Canis lupus familiaris: one gene and its partners. The protein of the gene in region 2 binds, or shares a complex with, the protein of the main gene of each other region. Links are inferred from orthologs where the notes say so. Each region holds a gene or a part of one and is shown on either strand. Other genes may lie near its edges. The genes, in order: HNRNPH2, DDX5 and PA2G4.

Region 1 (4,365 bases), on a different chromosome or scaffold from region 2:
AAGGCTCTGGTTACCTCACTTTCCTCCCCTCACTCCCTTACCCACTCCCTTACCCATTCCCTTACCCTCACTCCCCTACCCCACTCCTCTGTTTTAAAACCCTTAGAAGACTCTTAACGTTTGTCTATCAAGTAAGGCCTTTGGGATCTTACTCTCTACCTTGCCAGCCTTAACTTCTTGCCTGGGCTCATCCTATTTTATGCTCCATTGTAATTTTTAAAAATTTATTTGTGGATCCTTGAACTGGTGAGTCTGTTTAAACAATTCTGTGCCAACTGTTAGAATTGACCAACTAGTCCCTGTTTTATACCACCTTTTCACGCTATACAGAATTTTGTCATAGCAGGAATAATGTTTATTTGCCCTTTTGCCTTTAGTAAAGATGTATAATGCCCCTGTAGGACTATAAACCCTTTCTTGGTTTATTGATCCTTGTATCCCAAAGCCAAGTACTGGACTTGCCAGTTGAAAAATATAAAATGAATGTATGATCACCCTTAATGTCTTTTTCCCATTTATTGCTTAGGCCTTAATATTTCCTTGATTTTATTAATTGGCATGAGTTCATTATATAAGGATATTAATGTACTGTTGTGTCTTCTCAAGTGTATTGTCTTTTAATTCTGTTTAATCTTACCTTTGATGTAATGAAGTTTTTCATTTTTATGTAATCAGGTATAGCTATCTCGTATTTGTTCACAGCTTCCAGTGATTTTGCTGCTGATTTTTTATGCCTTTTGTGTTCTATGATGTTAATATATGTTCAATATAGAAAACCTAAAACATAGAAATGTCCAAAGAAAATACTCCTTTAATAAAAAAGTTCCCATAAGCCTACTGCCCAGAAATAACCACTATTAACGGTATTCAACACATAATAGGTATTGAGTAAATAATCTTTGGATGAATGAATTAAAAATTTGGTGCAGTCTTTTTATTTATATGAATATTTTAGAACAAAGCTATCCGTTTGAGTTTTATATTATTGGTTTGCTTTTTTCTCTTACTATGTTGTGAACATTTTTCCATGACAATAGTCTTCTAATTTTTTTTTTAGCTACACTGAAACTGCATTGAGCCAAGCTTGCCACCAAGAGCCCAACAATCATCATGATGCTGAGCACGGAAGGCAGGGAGGGGTTCGTGGTGAAGGTCAGGGGCCTACCCTGGTCCTGCTCAGCTGATGAAGTGATGCGCTTCTTCTCTGATTGCAAGATCCAAAACGGCACATCAGGTATTCGTTTCATCTATACCAGAGAAGGCAGACCAAGTGGTGAAGCGTTTGTCGAACTTGAATCCGAAGATGAAGTGAAATTGGCATTGAAGAAGGACAGAGAAACCATGGGACACAGATACGTTGAAGTGTTCAAGTCCAACAGTGTTGAAATGGATTGGGTGTTGAAGCATACAGGTCCGAATAGTCCTGATACTGCCAACGATGGCTTCGTCCGGCTTAGAGGACTCCCATTTGGCTGTAGCAAGGAAGAGATTGTTCAGTTCTTTTCAGGGTTGGAAATTGTGCCAAATGGGATGACACTGCCGGTGGACTTTCAGGGGCGGAGCACGGGGGAGGCCTTTGTGCAGTTTGCTTCGCAGGAGATAGCTGAAAAGGCCTTAAAGAAACACAAGGAAAGAATAGGGCATAGGTACATTGAAATCTTCAAGAGTAGCCGAGCTGAAGTCCGAACCCACTACGACCCCCCGCGAAAGCTCATGGCTATGCAGCGGCCAGGTCCTTATGATAGGCCAGGGGCTGGCAGAGGGTATAATAGTATTGGCAGAGGGACTGGGTTTGAAAGGATGAGGCGTGGTGCCTATGGTGGAGGGTATGGAGGCTATGATGACTATGGTGGCTATAATGATGGCTATGGCTTTGGGTCTGATAGATTTGGAAGAGACCTCAATTACTGTTTTTCAGGGATGTCTGACCATAGATATGGAGATGGTGGGTCCAGTTTCCAGAGCACCACAGGGCACTGTGTACACATGAGGGGATTACCTTACAGAGCCACTGAGAATGATATTTACAATTTTTTCTCACCTCTTAACCCCATGAGAGTGCACATTGAAATTGGACCCGATGGCCGAGTTACTGGTGAGGCAGATGTTGAATTTGCTACCCATGAAGATGCTGTGGCAGCTATGGCAAAAGACAAAGCTAATATGCAACACAGATACGTGGAGCTCTTCTTGAATTCTACTGCAGGAACAAGTGGGGGTGCTTATGATCACAGCTATGTAGAACTCTTTTTGAATTCTACAGCAGGGGCAAGTGGTGGTGCATATGGTAGTCAAATGATGGGAGGAATGGGCTTATCCAACCAATCTAGTTATGGGGGCCCTGCCAGCCAGCAGCTAAGCGGGGGTTATGGAGGTGGGTACGGTGGTCAGAGCAGTATGAGTGGATATGACCAAGTGCTGCAGGAAAACTCCAGTGACTATCAGTCAAACCTCGCTTAAGTAAACAATACTAAACAGCTATTACAAAAATAAAATCTCTGCATTTATGGGAGTTGTAGAATGGGAGGGATGTCTAGTATATCCAGTATGATTGGTAAATGGGAAATACTGATTCTGATCACTCTTGGTCAGCTTCCTCTTTCTTTCTTTCTTTCTTTCTTTCTTTCGTTCTTTCGTTCTTTCGTTCTTTCATTCTTTCCTTTTTTTTTTTAAGAAAACAAAAGTTAAGTTTAACAGTTTTGCATTACAGGCTTGTGATTCATGCTTACTGTAAAGTGGAAGTCAAGGTTTTACAACTTTAAGCTCAGTAATTTTGAACACTGAAACATTCATCTAGGGTGTAATAACAACGTTCAGTATTGACCATAACTGTTAAAACAATTTTCAGCTTTCCTCAAGTTAGTTACATTGTAGGAGTATACCTAAGCAGTAAGCATTATTTAGGTTAAAGCAGTTTCACTTATGTTAAATGTTGCTCTTATACCACAATACCTTGAAAACTTTGGATGCATGTTGAGAAACATGCTTTTCTGTAAAACTCAAATATAGGAGCTGTGTCTACGATTCAAAGTGAAAACATTTGGCATGTTTGTTAATTCTAGCTTTTTGGTTTAATATCCTGTAAGGCACGTGAGTGTACACTTTTACTTTTTTAAAGATCTGGGACAATTTTGAGATGTAATACCAATACTTTAGGAGTTTGGTCATGTTGTTTGTATGAGATTCTGAGACTTTGATTTAAACCTTTCCTTGTATTGTGATTTCCATTAGATGTATTGTACTAAGTGAAACTTGTTAAATAAATCTTCCTTTTAAAAATGAAAAATCTTGTGCAGCTTGATTTCTTTTAAAAATTTTATTTATTTGAGAGAGAGAGAGGCAGAGAGATCAAAGAAGGAAAAGCAGATTTGCCGCTGAGCCGAGAGCTGGATGCAGGGCTCAATCCCGGGCCACTGAGATCATGACCTAAGCTGAAGGCAGACATTTAACTGAGCTACCCAGGCGCCCCAACAGCTTAATTTTTTAAAAATGTTCCATCATATGAACCATTTCTTTGATACAAGTCCTCTGCACTTGAAACTTATTTTTTTAAGATTTTTATTTATTTATTTGATAGAACAAGCAGGGTGGAATGGCAGGCAAAGGGAGAGGGAGAAGCAAGACTCCACACTGAGGAGGGTCCCGGACATGGGGCTTGATCCCAGGACCTTGAGGTCATGACCTGAGCCAAAAGCAGATACTTAACCCACTGAGCCACCCAGTGCCCCTGCCACTGAAATTTAAATTTAATTTTTATAAACACACATTAGTACCATCATACATAAATTGTTCACTGTATCATTATTTTTAAGATCTATGCCTAAAAGTGGGATTGTTGAGTCAAGTGTACCCACATTTTTAAGGCTTTTGATTTGCATTGTCACATTATGGTACTCTTTGCACTGCCCCCCTCCACCATGATGCATATTATTCTTGATCTTGGCTAATTTATTAGTTGAAAAATGGTATCCCGTTGCTATTTTAATTTGTTTAATGAGGTAGAGTATTATTCTGTTTCTAAACTCTCCATGTCCACAGGACTATTGGGCTTCTCTGGAAACTATACTTTATCAAGACAGCATTCTCCAAAAGCCAGAAAGTAAAAACAAATCCCCTTCCTTTCATTGAATCATATATGGAAGATCTAAGGCACCTTTATATGTTCTAAAAAAGAAGCCTATGTTATTATATAAGTAATTCAGTCTCCTCCATGAATTTATTAATAGTCTCTAAACACTATGAGGTTTTTCAGGGCATTTAAAGCTTGTTCTTAACCATTGGTTCGCATACCTTAGTGTGCACCAGAATCATCTGTGGGGCTTCTAAAAACAGTGGTTACTGGGCCTCACTCCTAGAGTTTCTGAA
Region 2 (4,739 bases):
TGGGATGACTTCCAGAGGGCTGGAATTTCAATGCAGTCAAACCTATGATGCAAATCCAATTTTTACTGTTGCAAACTAAAACCTTGTTATTTTACCTTTTCTTATTTTACAAGCCATACATAGCTGTTTTTTAACATACTTAAAAGTAAACAGGAATAGATGTCATAAACGAGACAGTTTGTTAACGATTGTCTGAGATTAGCAGAAACTAATTAATGGATGCTGCTTCAAATTCCCAATAGCATTAGTCATGTTTCTACCCAATTATTTTGTGCAAGTCAGAATTTCTCTGGTGCCCCAAAAGGTGGTGATTAATTCAGGCTGTTAAAAAACTGAAGTAATGACCCCAACACTGCAACATTTGTTTTAGTTCTTTAAAAAAATTACATTTAATGGAGGCGCCTGGGTGGCTCGATCGGTTTAAGCCTTTGCCTTCAGCTCAGGTCATGATCCCCGCAGGATGGAGCCCCCAAGTCTGGCTCCCTGCTCACCGGGGAGTCTGCTTTTCCCCTTGCTCATGCTCTCACTCAAATAAATAAATAAAATCTTATAAAAAAAATAAAGTCAATGAATAAGAAGTAAAATACAGGCAATACACAAAGACATCCCTAAATTCAGAACTAGCACATTACCAACACTGTTGGAAGTTTCCTGTGTGCCACCGCACCCCACCCCCAGATACGGTCGGAATTAGCAAGATTATTTCACGACTTTCTCCAACAAAGGTAATTTCTAAAGCCTGACCTATTTGCTCCCTGATACAATTTAAGGTGGTTAAGAAGTCCTTCTACTTCGTATTTGACGAACTGAGCGCGTTCAAGGCACGTTATCTCCCTGTCCCCGTGCCCACTTCTCACAGCTGACCAAACCACGAGCTGGTTTGAACGCTGTCCTGAGGAAAGGATGAAAAGAAAAGCGTCCCGGACAACCCAACCCACTCGGTTTTCAAAAGCGGTTGCTAGACAATGCAGGTAACTCCAGAGGGCACTGAAGAGAAAAATCCGCCACTATCCTACTGTGGCAGGAGCATCAGCAGATCTTTAGAGTGCCGTTCCCCTCAAAACTTCAATGCACATGGAGGTAACGGCCTCAGTCCCCACAATCCAAGAGGCAGAGAGCGCGCTGACAGTGGCTGGATGCCCCAGAGAAACACGAGTCCCGGGAAGCAGCTTTCCGACTGCCCTTTTTGCAGCCAGGTTGCGGGCGTGCTGCGGGCCTCGCCACGGGGTTCTTCTCTCCACACCCCAAGATCTCGCTAGATGGCCTCTAGGAGGGGGACCCAGAGCGGGGCCAAGAAACCCACGGAACCGCCGACTGCGACTGGGTGTCTGTCACCAGCCCCGCCGGCAGCCCAGACCCAGGGAGTCCAGCCGGAGGATTCGAGATAAAAGGCCTAGGAGCGTCCGGCGGACTTAAAGGGTTTCAGTCCACACACACCCGGGCTCCGGGCCGAGACTCACCAGCCTCTGAGCCGGCCATGTCACGGAGGCAGGTCGCTGCCGGACTTCCAGCTGGGCGCGAGGCGGACGGCGTCCGGGAAGGGCCGCACAGCGCAGACGCAACGCCGAGGTGGGGGGAGAACGAAACGAAAGGGCAGGGGGTGAAAGAGGGAGGGACGTTAAAACGGCTTCTTGCTGCTGATTGGTCATCACGGGAGGACTTCCTTTCGCAGCACGCGCCCAGGCGGCGGTTTGTGGGCTCTAGGTACCATTCTCCGCGGGCAAGATCCCGCTGAGGGATTCTCAGGTGGGTGGATTTGACAGGCCGGGTCACCCAGCGGCCCTGGCCGGCCTCCCGGGGGCAATAGTACGGCACTTCCGGCGAGCTATTTCGTTTCGTATTCCTCCGCCGACGCCAAGTGGAGAAGTAGTGCGGTCCGCTTACCCGATGGGCGGGAGCAGTCACGTGACAATGTCAGGCTCCGCCTTCCCGTCTCACTTGGTTAGGGGCGTGAAGGCTCTTCGGAGACGTAAACATCTCCAAGTGGGCTGAGTGGGTTGGTCTGTGCTGGCCATTTTGTCGGCAGGGCTAGACCTGGGAAAGGGCGGGGTGGCTTCCTTGAGGTGTGGAAAGACGAGAAAAAGGTGAAGAACACAGAGTAGGCTAAGGCGTCTCAGTGCGGGTGGGCCCAGCCGTGAAAGGGGCCCCAAGCCGGCGACTCTGAGGGAAGCGGAGGGTGGGGGTGGGGCGAGAACATGGCGGATCCCGGAACGCCGGCGGGCGTTGCGGCCTCTGCGCAGGGGCGGGGTGATTAGGTCATAGAGCGGCTCCCAGCATTCTCCGCGGCGGAGGAGGCGGTCCAGGCTATAAAACCGGCTGCCGGGACGCGGCCGGCACCTCATTCATTTCCACCGGTCTCTTGTCGAGCAGCTCCGGCCCCTGTCATCGCCGCCCCGCTGCCGCTGCCGCCCCCGCAAGGCTTTGCCATCGCCAAAGCCACCTGCAGCGACTCGTCGCACCCGATTCTCTTTACTTCGTTCCCCGCCAACCGCAACCATTGACGCCATGTCGGGTTATTCGAGTGACCGAGACCGCGGCCGGGATCGAGGGTGAGTGTGGGAACGGACTTGTCAGGCCCGGCAGTGGGGGATGGGAGGCCGATGAAGGAGGCGGCGGGCGGGGGCGATGGACAGTCGGCTTTTTCCGGCTATATTTAACCTTTACGAATCGAAGGCTTGCGCCATTTTGATATTTGTCCGGAACTGACAGAGGGATGTTTCCCTGTTAACGGTCCTCAAGCTCGCCTTTTGTTGGTGGGGGGATGGGGGAGGCGCCGAAGCCCCCGCCCCCGCCGACTGAGCAGCTGTTGGGGACAATTCGGGGGAGTGTATTTCAATGGTTGGAAAGCGCGACGCTTTCAGGAGAACGAAGTCACCGCTGTTCGGTGCATCTTTTCGGGAAGTGTTGTAGGGGCCCCGGGAGTTCTGTGGTAATCGAAGGGGTCGCCTCACGAGCCATTGATGGCGCGGGAGCAGGAGGGCGGCCGGCACCGCGGGAATCGGCCATGTGGCTGAGCCGCGGGTACAAAATGCCGGCGCCGGACATGGCGGCGGCGCCTTTGTTACCCCGCCCGGCGGAGGAGCTCAAAATGGCAGCGTCGAGAAAATGTGGCGCAGAGAGAAATGCGAGACAAAGGGGGAAGCGCCGCCCCAGCGGGAACGCCGCCCGGTCCGGGACTCCTCCCCCGGTAGTTGCCAGCTCCTCCTCCTCTTTTTCTTTGCGTTATATAATTTTGCTATCTTGATGAGGAGCCCTCCGGGGGGATCCCCCCAATTCGATGGGCTTGCATAAATGTCTCTGAGACCACCGTCCTTGTTCTGTTCTCGTTGGTGCTGTCCCATTATTCCTTAGAACCAAAGCTGCTTGGCTTGGAAAGAGCTGATAATAACATTGCTGTTACGCACCTCCCTTGTATTGTCTCTCCCCCAGACATTTAATGCCTAAGCTCACGGGAAAGACTAGGAGCCACAAGCTGTTGTCTATCCTTGTAATCTGAACATGGGGCGTTTGGGCAGCCAATTTCCGACCTGATAAATCCCGGGCTGTTGATTTGGCTTCAATAGTGTGTATTTGGGACAACGGAAAGTGAGAGAGATGGTGCTAATTGTGGCTTTTGAGAGCATGACCCATCACTAAGGACAGTGCTAAGTCTTAAACCTCGAAAAGTCTTTCATTTATCTGTACTGTGTGTCAAGGGACAATAAATAGTCTGTATGTAAACGTCTTAGTAGGTAGTTGAAAATATAACTTTTTTGTTTTAATTTCAGGTTTGGTGCACCTCGATTTGGGGGAAGTAGGGCAGGGCCCCTATCTGGAAAGAAGTTTGGAAACCCTGGGGAGAAATTAGTCAAAAAGAAGTGGAATCTTGATGAGCTGCCCAAATTTGAGAAGAATTTTTATCAAGAACACCCTGATTTGGCTAGGCGCACAGCAGTGAGTAATTTCACAGGGCTTCCTTGGGCTGTAACTCAACAGTGACTTTTAGTAAACAGAAATTTGAACAGAGGCCTTGGAAAACTCATATTTTCTGATAGTCGAGGAAGAGGAGGTGCTTTGGCAAGTGGTATCTTTGAATTTTTCTGTTTAGAGTGGTTAAATATAACTACAATAGATGGATCTTGTGCTCTGTAGGTTTTCTATATGTGGATATAGATTTTAAATGGCCCGTTACAGTTTGCTAATCCTTGATAAACTTAAGGCCTGCTGACTGCATATTGGTGAAGGTTGTTATGGTACTTAGTAGGTTATTAAAATTTGTTTTATAGCAAGAGGTGGAGACATACAGAAGGAGTAAGGAAATTACGGTTAGAGGTCACAACTGCCCAAAGCCAGTTCTGAATTTTTATGAAGCAAACTTCCCTGGTAAGTGCTAGTTCAGAGCACTCACTCCCCCCCCTTTATTAATTTCACCCTTTTTCTTAGCTTCACTAAATTTACTGAATTACTGTTGCTAATTACAGCAAATGTAATGGATGTGATTGCAAGACAGAATTTTACTGAACCCACTGCAATTCAAGCTCAGGGATGGCCCGTTGCTCTAAGTGGTTTGGATATGGTTGGAGTAGCACAGACTGGATCCGGGAAAACATTGTCTGTAAGTGTGGAAGAATTTTTGAGTTTTAATATGTGATTATGTTAGAGAAAATGGATTAGTGATATAAGGAAATTAGAAGCTTTTTAATTTAACTTTTGTTTTGTTCCCCCACCCCAAATAGTATTTGCTGCCTGCTATCGTCCAT
Region 3 (4,209 bases), on a different chromosome or scaffold from region 2:
TGGATGGCTTCATCGCTAATGTGGCTCACACTTTTGTGGTTGATGTAGCTCAGGTAGGTGGCCTCCTTTGAATTCTGTTCTACCTATGGGGAGTGGGGGAGGATATGCTGCTGCTTGCTTTTTATTCCCACTCTCTACCGCCAAATGTTTTGAGAGATTCCCTAGAGAAATAAAAAGAGAAAAGTGTTTTCTCTCCTGTTCATTGGCTGGCCTTGCATAGTGACCATTTGAGTAAAGCACTTTCCAGGAAGGTACTGATTGCATCCAGGAAGGTACTGATTGCATTTCCTTATCTACAGGGGACCCAAGTAACAGGGCGGAAAGCAGATGTCATTAAGGCAGCTCACCTTTGTGCTGAAGCTGCTCTACGCCTGGTCAAACCTGGAAACCAGGTAAGTAAGCTGTTGAGTCCAGTTCCAAAGATGATAGAGCCAAAGTTGATTAGTCACATATAATTATTCTCTCTCTCTTTTTTTAAGATTTTATTTATTCATTCATGAGAGATACATATTTAGAGAGAGGCAAAGACATAGGCAGATGGAGAAGCAGGCTCCCTGTGGGGAGCCCAATGTGGGACGTGGGACTCAATCCCAGATCCCAGGATCACGCTCTGGGCCAAAGGCAGACGCCCAACCCCTGAGCCACCCAGGCATCCCACATATAACTATTCTCTATTGAATTCCCAGCTTCTGCAGCCCCCTTATAAAACAGTTTTTCTTTGTTTTGTTTTTTTAAGTAAGCTCTATACCCAAGGTGGGGCTTGAACTCATGACCCTGAGACCAAGAGTCACATGCTCTACTGAGTGAGCCAGTCAGGTGCCCCTAATACAAACAGCTCTTTAAAATTAGAATTGGATTTCTGGGGTACCTGGGTGGCTCAGTGACTGAACGTCTGCCTTTGATTCAGGTGATGATCCCAGAGTCCTGGGATCAAGTTCCCGCATCAGGCTCCCTGCAGGGAGCTTGCTTCTCCCTCTGCCTATGCATCTGCCTCTCTATCTCTCTCTCTCTCATGAATGAATGAATAAAATCTTTAAAAAAAAAACAAAATTAGAAACAGATTTCTGAAATAGAAGAGGCAGTTAACTAAGCACTGTTTAACTCTGAGTGCCTATCATAGGTAAGGTCCATGCTAGGTATATGGGGATGTATGATCCATTCTTCATGGAGCCTAGAGATCTTTCCTTTTTCATGTTTTGGTTGTGCATCTTTTCCTAAAATAATTTGAGGTATATCACTTGGAGTAAAATACATGTTGAAAAAAGATGAAAGGGCAGCCGTGGTGGCTTGGCGGTTGGTTCATCGCCACCTCCGGCCCAGGGCGTGTTCCTGGAGACCCGGGATCAAGTCCTGCATCTGGCTTCCTGCATGGAGCCTGCTTCTCCCTCTGCCTGTGTCTCTGCCTCTGTGTGTCTTTCGTGAATAAATGAATAAAATAAAATAAAATAAAACCTTTTTCTTTTTAACTTAATTACTTGAGTAACCTCTGCACCCAATGTGGGGCTCAAAATCCCATCCCCAGGATCAAGAATTGCCCTTCCAACCGAGCCAGGCAGGTACTCCCAAAACCCAACTTTAAAAGCTAATGAAACAAATCATAATAGTACCAGTAAACTGGTAGCAGAGAGAGGCCAAAAGTGAGTTCTTTGCCTTGCAAGACAATATCAGGAAGCCTAGGGATCATGAACTGTTATGGATTAATACACTTTAACATGTTAGATTATGAGTGGAGACATTTTTTCTAACACTTCAGTCTCCAGGGTCCTATTCGATACTTAAAGCTTGCCTTTTTTGTTCCCCTGTGCTCTTGTTTTTTATGCTTTTAATCAGTTTGTACCTCATCTCCATTGTTATTCATATCATTTTTACTTATACCTCTGTCTTGGTTTCCTTATGATACTACTTCCTACCACTGTTATGAAGCTCTTTGAACAGTGCCTGGCCCATAGTAAGCGCTTGTGCACATTAATTATTTTTATTCTTTTTTTTTTTTTAATATTTTTTTTAATTTTTTAATTTATTTATGATAGTCACAGAGAGAGAGAGAGAGGCAGAGACATAGGCAGAGGGAGAAGCAGGCTCCATGCACCGGGAGCCTGATGTGGGATTCGATCCTGGGTCTCCAGGATCGCGCCCTGGGCCAAAGGCAGGCGCCAAACCGCTGCGCCACCCAGGGATCCCCTATTTTTATTCTTTATATACTAACTATTGCATATCTCCACTGGAACGTATAATTGTATAGTGGCTATTGTAAATTATGACATACATCAGAATTTCTGGGTTCTTGCCCTGTTGCCACCCCTTACTGTTTAAAAGTAACTTGGAATTCAGATTTCCTCATCTGCAAAATAGGAAAAATAAAATTGCCCCTTATTGTCATAGGGTTGTTACGACAATTGAGATGATCCATGTGAAGTACCTAACACAAAATTTAGTATTATTAGTTATGATTATGTATTTTTCATTTTGTTTAATGACAAAGGAAATAGTTTAGGTGGAGATCAGATGTTTGAAAGAGTTAAAAGGGAAAATCAGAACTTGTCCTCTCTCAACAGATATCATGAGATAAACACGGGATTTATCACCAGAAAACCTGGGTTTATTCCCATTTCTTTCGGTTAACTGGCTTAACCCTATGCAAATCTTTTTTAACCTTTCCAAGCCTCAGTTTATACATCTTCTAAATTGGGATATGGAATATAGCTCTGCCCCATTCATCTTTCAGAATTATTGTCTACTTGGACCATCTTGGTGAAAGCATTTATAAAATGATAAGCTAATATAAGGTGTTTTTAGGTTGTAGGGATAATAGGGCTATGAAATGAAAAGCCACTGAGAATCATTGCTTTTTGATGGAGGATATGGAGACTCAGTTCTTTTTTATCCCTTTCATTCTCATGTTAGAGAACTTGTTGACCTCTGGTATATATCTCACCTGTTACTTGATTTTGTACTTCTAGAACACACAAGTGACAGAAGCCTGGAACAAAGTTGCCCACTCGTTTAATTGCACACCAATAGAAGGTGAGACCTCAGATAACAGGGTTGAGGGTCTGAGTGAGTGCTTTAGTAGAATGAAGAATTTTGCTCCTTTTAGGATCTATCCTGGCTCTAGCACAGTCTAAGCCAAAACCCATACTACCCTGAGTTTTCATAGCCAGGCACTTTTCCTTTATTGCATGCCCTGTCACAGTGTCGATGGGTGGATTTGGAAACCCTCTGGGATTCTAAATGGCTTTGTCGTGTCTACAGGTATGTTGTCACATCAATTGAAGCAGCATGTCATCGATGGAGAGAAAACCATTATCCAGAATCCCACAGACCAGCAGAAGTAGGTGCCAATTCCACCCTTTACTTTCTACCATCTGAGACTAGTCATGAATGTTTTCTTCCATACACCCAGCCTAATTGTGTCTGCCTTTCTATTTCATACTCCAGGGACTAATCATTTTTTTTATGGTTCGCTTTTTATTCCTTTTAGGAAGGACCATGAAAAAGCTGAATTTGAGGTACATGAAGTATATGCTGTGGATGTTCTTGTCAGCTCAGGAGAGGGCAAGGTGAGGAGAGTTTACCAGAGCTACCAAAGAGGGGTAGTTGAAGGTATGTTCTAAGAGCACCAGACCAACTGTGACCTAACGCATTACTCTTTTAGGCCAAGGATGCAGGACAGAGAACCACCATTTACAAACGAGACCCTTCTAAACAGTATGGCCTAAAAATGAAAACTTCACGTGCCTTCTTCAGTGAGGTGGAGAGGCGTTTTGATGCCATGCCATTTACTTTAAGGTACTATGACTGCACTTAACAAGAACAGGACTCAGAACCAGCCTGACTCATAGACCACACACCCAGGAACACTGTTACCTCTCCCAGTGCACCCCCTCCCACCCTGCCCCTGCCTAGACTTGTAGCTCCAGCCTGCATGCATGCCTTCTCTCCCTCTCCCCATTGCCCTCTCATCGAAGATAATGTGCAAGAGCAATCCTAAGCATGATTTCTGCCTGAGGGTAGGAGCTATTTAAAAACAGGAAAATGGTAAGACTTGATAGGGGGTTAAGGATACCTGAATCTGTCTTCCCTCACCCAGAGCATTTGAGGATGAGAAGAAGGCCCGGATGGGTGTGGTGGAGTGCGCCAAACATGAACTGCTACAGCCATTTAATGTTCTCTATGAGAAGGAGGGTGAGTTCTAAGAAGAGAGTTTCA

The links.
Region 1: DDX5 (region 2) and HNRNPH2 share a complex: the UniProt entries of both Homo sapiens proteins name them as parts of the ribonucleoprotein complex. The link is inferred for Canis lupus familiaris from reciprocal best matches to the Homo sapiens genes DDX5 and HNRNPH2.
Region 3: DDX5 (region 2) and PA2G4 share a complex: the UniProt entries of both Homo sapiens proteins name them as parts of the ribonucleoprotein complex. The link is inferred for Canis lupus familiaris from reciprocal best matches to the Homo sapiens genes DDX5 and PA2G4.

What each region holds. Positions count from the first base shown.
Region 1 is NC_049260.1:75,730,546-75,734,910, forward strand, and holds the end of HNRNPH2 (heterogeneous nuclear ribonucleoprotein H2), read left to right. Parts: intron 1-27; exon of another isoform or gene 28-246; intron 247-1,057; 5' UTR 1,058-1,110; coding exon 1,111-2,460; 3' UTR 2,461-3,286; downstream 3,287-4,365. UniProt on the Homo sapiens protein: This protein is a component of the heterogeneous nuclear ribonucleoprotein (hnRNP) complexes which provide the substrate for the processing events that pre-mRNAs undergo before becoming functional, translatable mRNAs in the cytoplasm. Binds poly(RG).
Region 2 is NC_049230.1:14,615,730-14,620,468, forward strand, and holds the start of DDX5 (probable ATP-dependent RNA helicase DDX5), read left to right. Parts: upstream 1-1,718; 5' UTR 1,719-1,746; exon of another isoform or gene 1,747-2,190; intron 2,191-2,370; 5' UTR 2,371-2,505; coding exon 2,506-2,549; intron 2,550-3,767; coding exon 3,768-3,933; intron 3,934-4,265; coding exon 4,266-4,362; intron 4,363-4,460; coding exon 4,461-4,594; intron 4,595-4,715; coding exon 4,716-4,739. Other genes in the region: CEP95 (centrosomal protein of 95 kDa), read right to left, coding at 1,461-1,479. UniProt on the Homo sapiens protein: Involved in the alternative regulation of pre-mRNA splicing; its RNA helicase activity is necessary for increasing tau exon 10 inclusion and occurs in a RBM4-dependent manner. Binds to the tau pre-mRNA in the stem-loop region downstream of exon 10.
Region 3 is NC_049231.1:780,250-784,458, forward strand, and holds part of PA2G4 (proliferation-associated protein 2G4), read left to right. Parts: coding exon 1-53; exon of another isoform or gene 54-161; intron 162-299; coding exon 300-392; intron 393-2,960; coding exon 2,961-3,024; intron 3,025-3,252; coding exon 3,253-3,331; intron 3,332-3,481; coding exon 3,482-3,560; intron 3,561-3,655; coding exon 3,656-3,789; intron 3,790-4,090; coding exon 4,091-4,185; intron 4,186-4,209. UniProt on the Homo sapiens protein: May play a role in a ERBB3-regulated signal transduction pathway. Seems be involved in growth regulation. Acts a corepressor of the androgen receptor (AR) and is regulated by the ERBB3 ligand neuregulin-1/heregulin (HRG).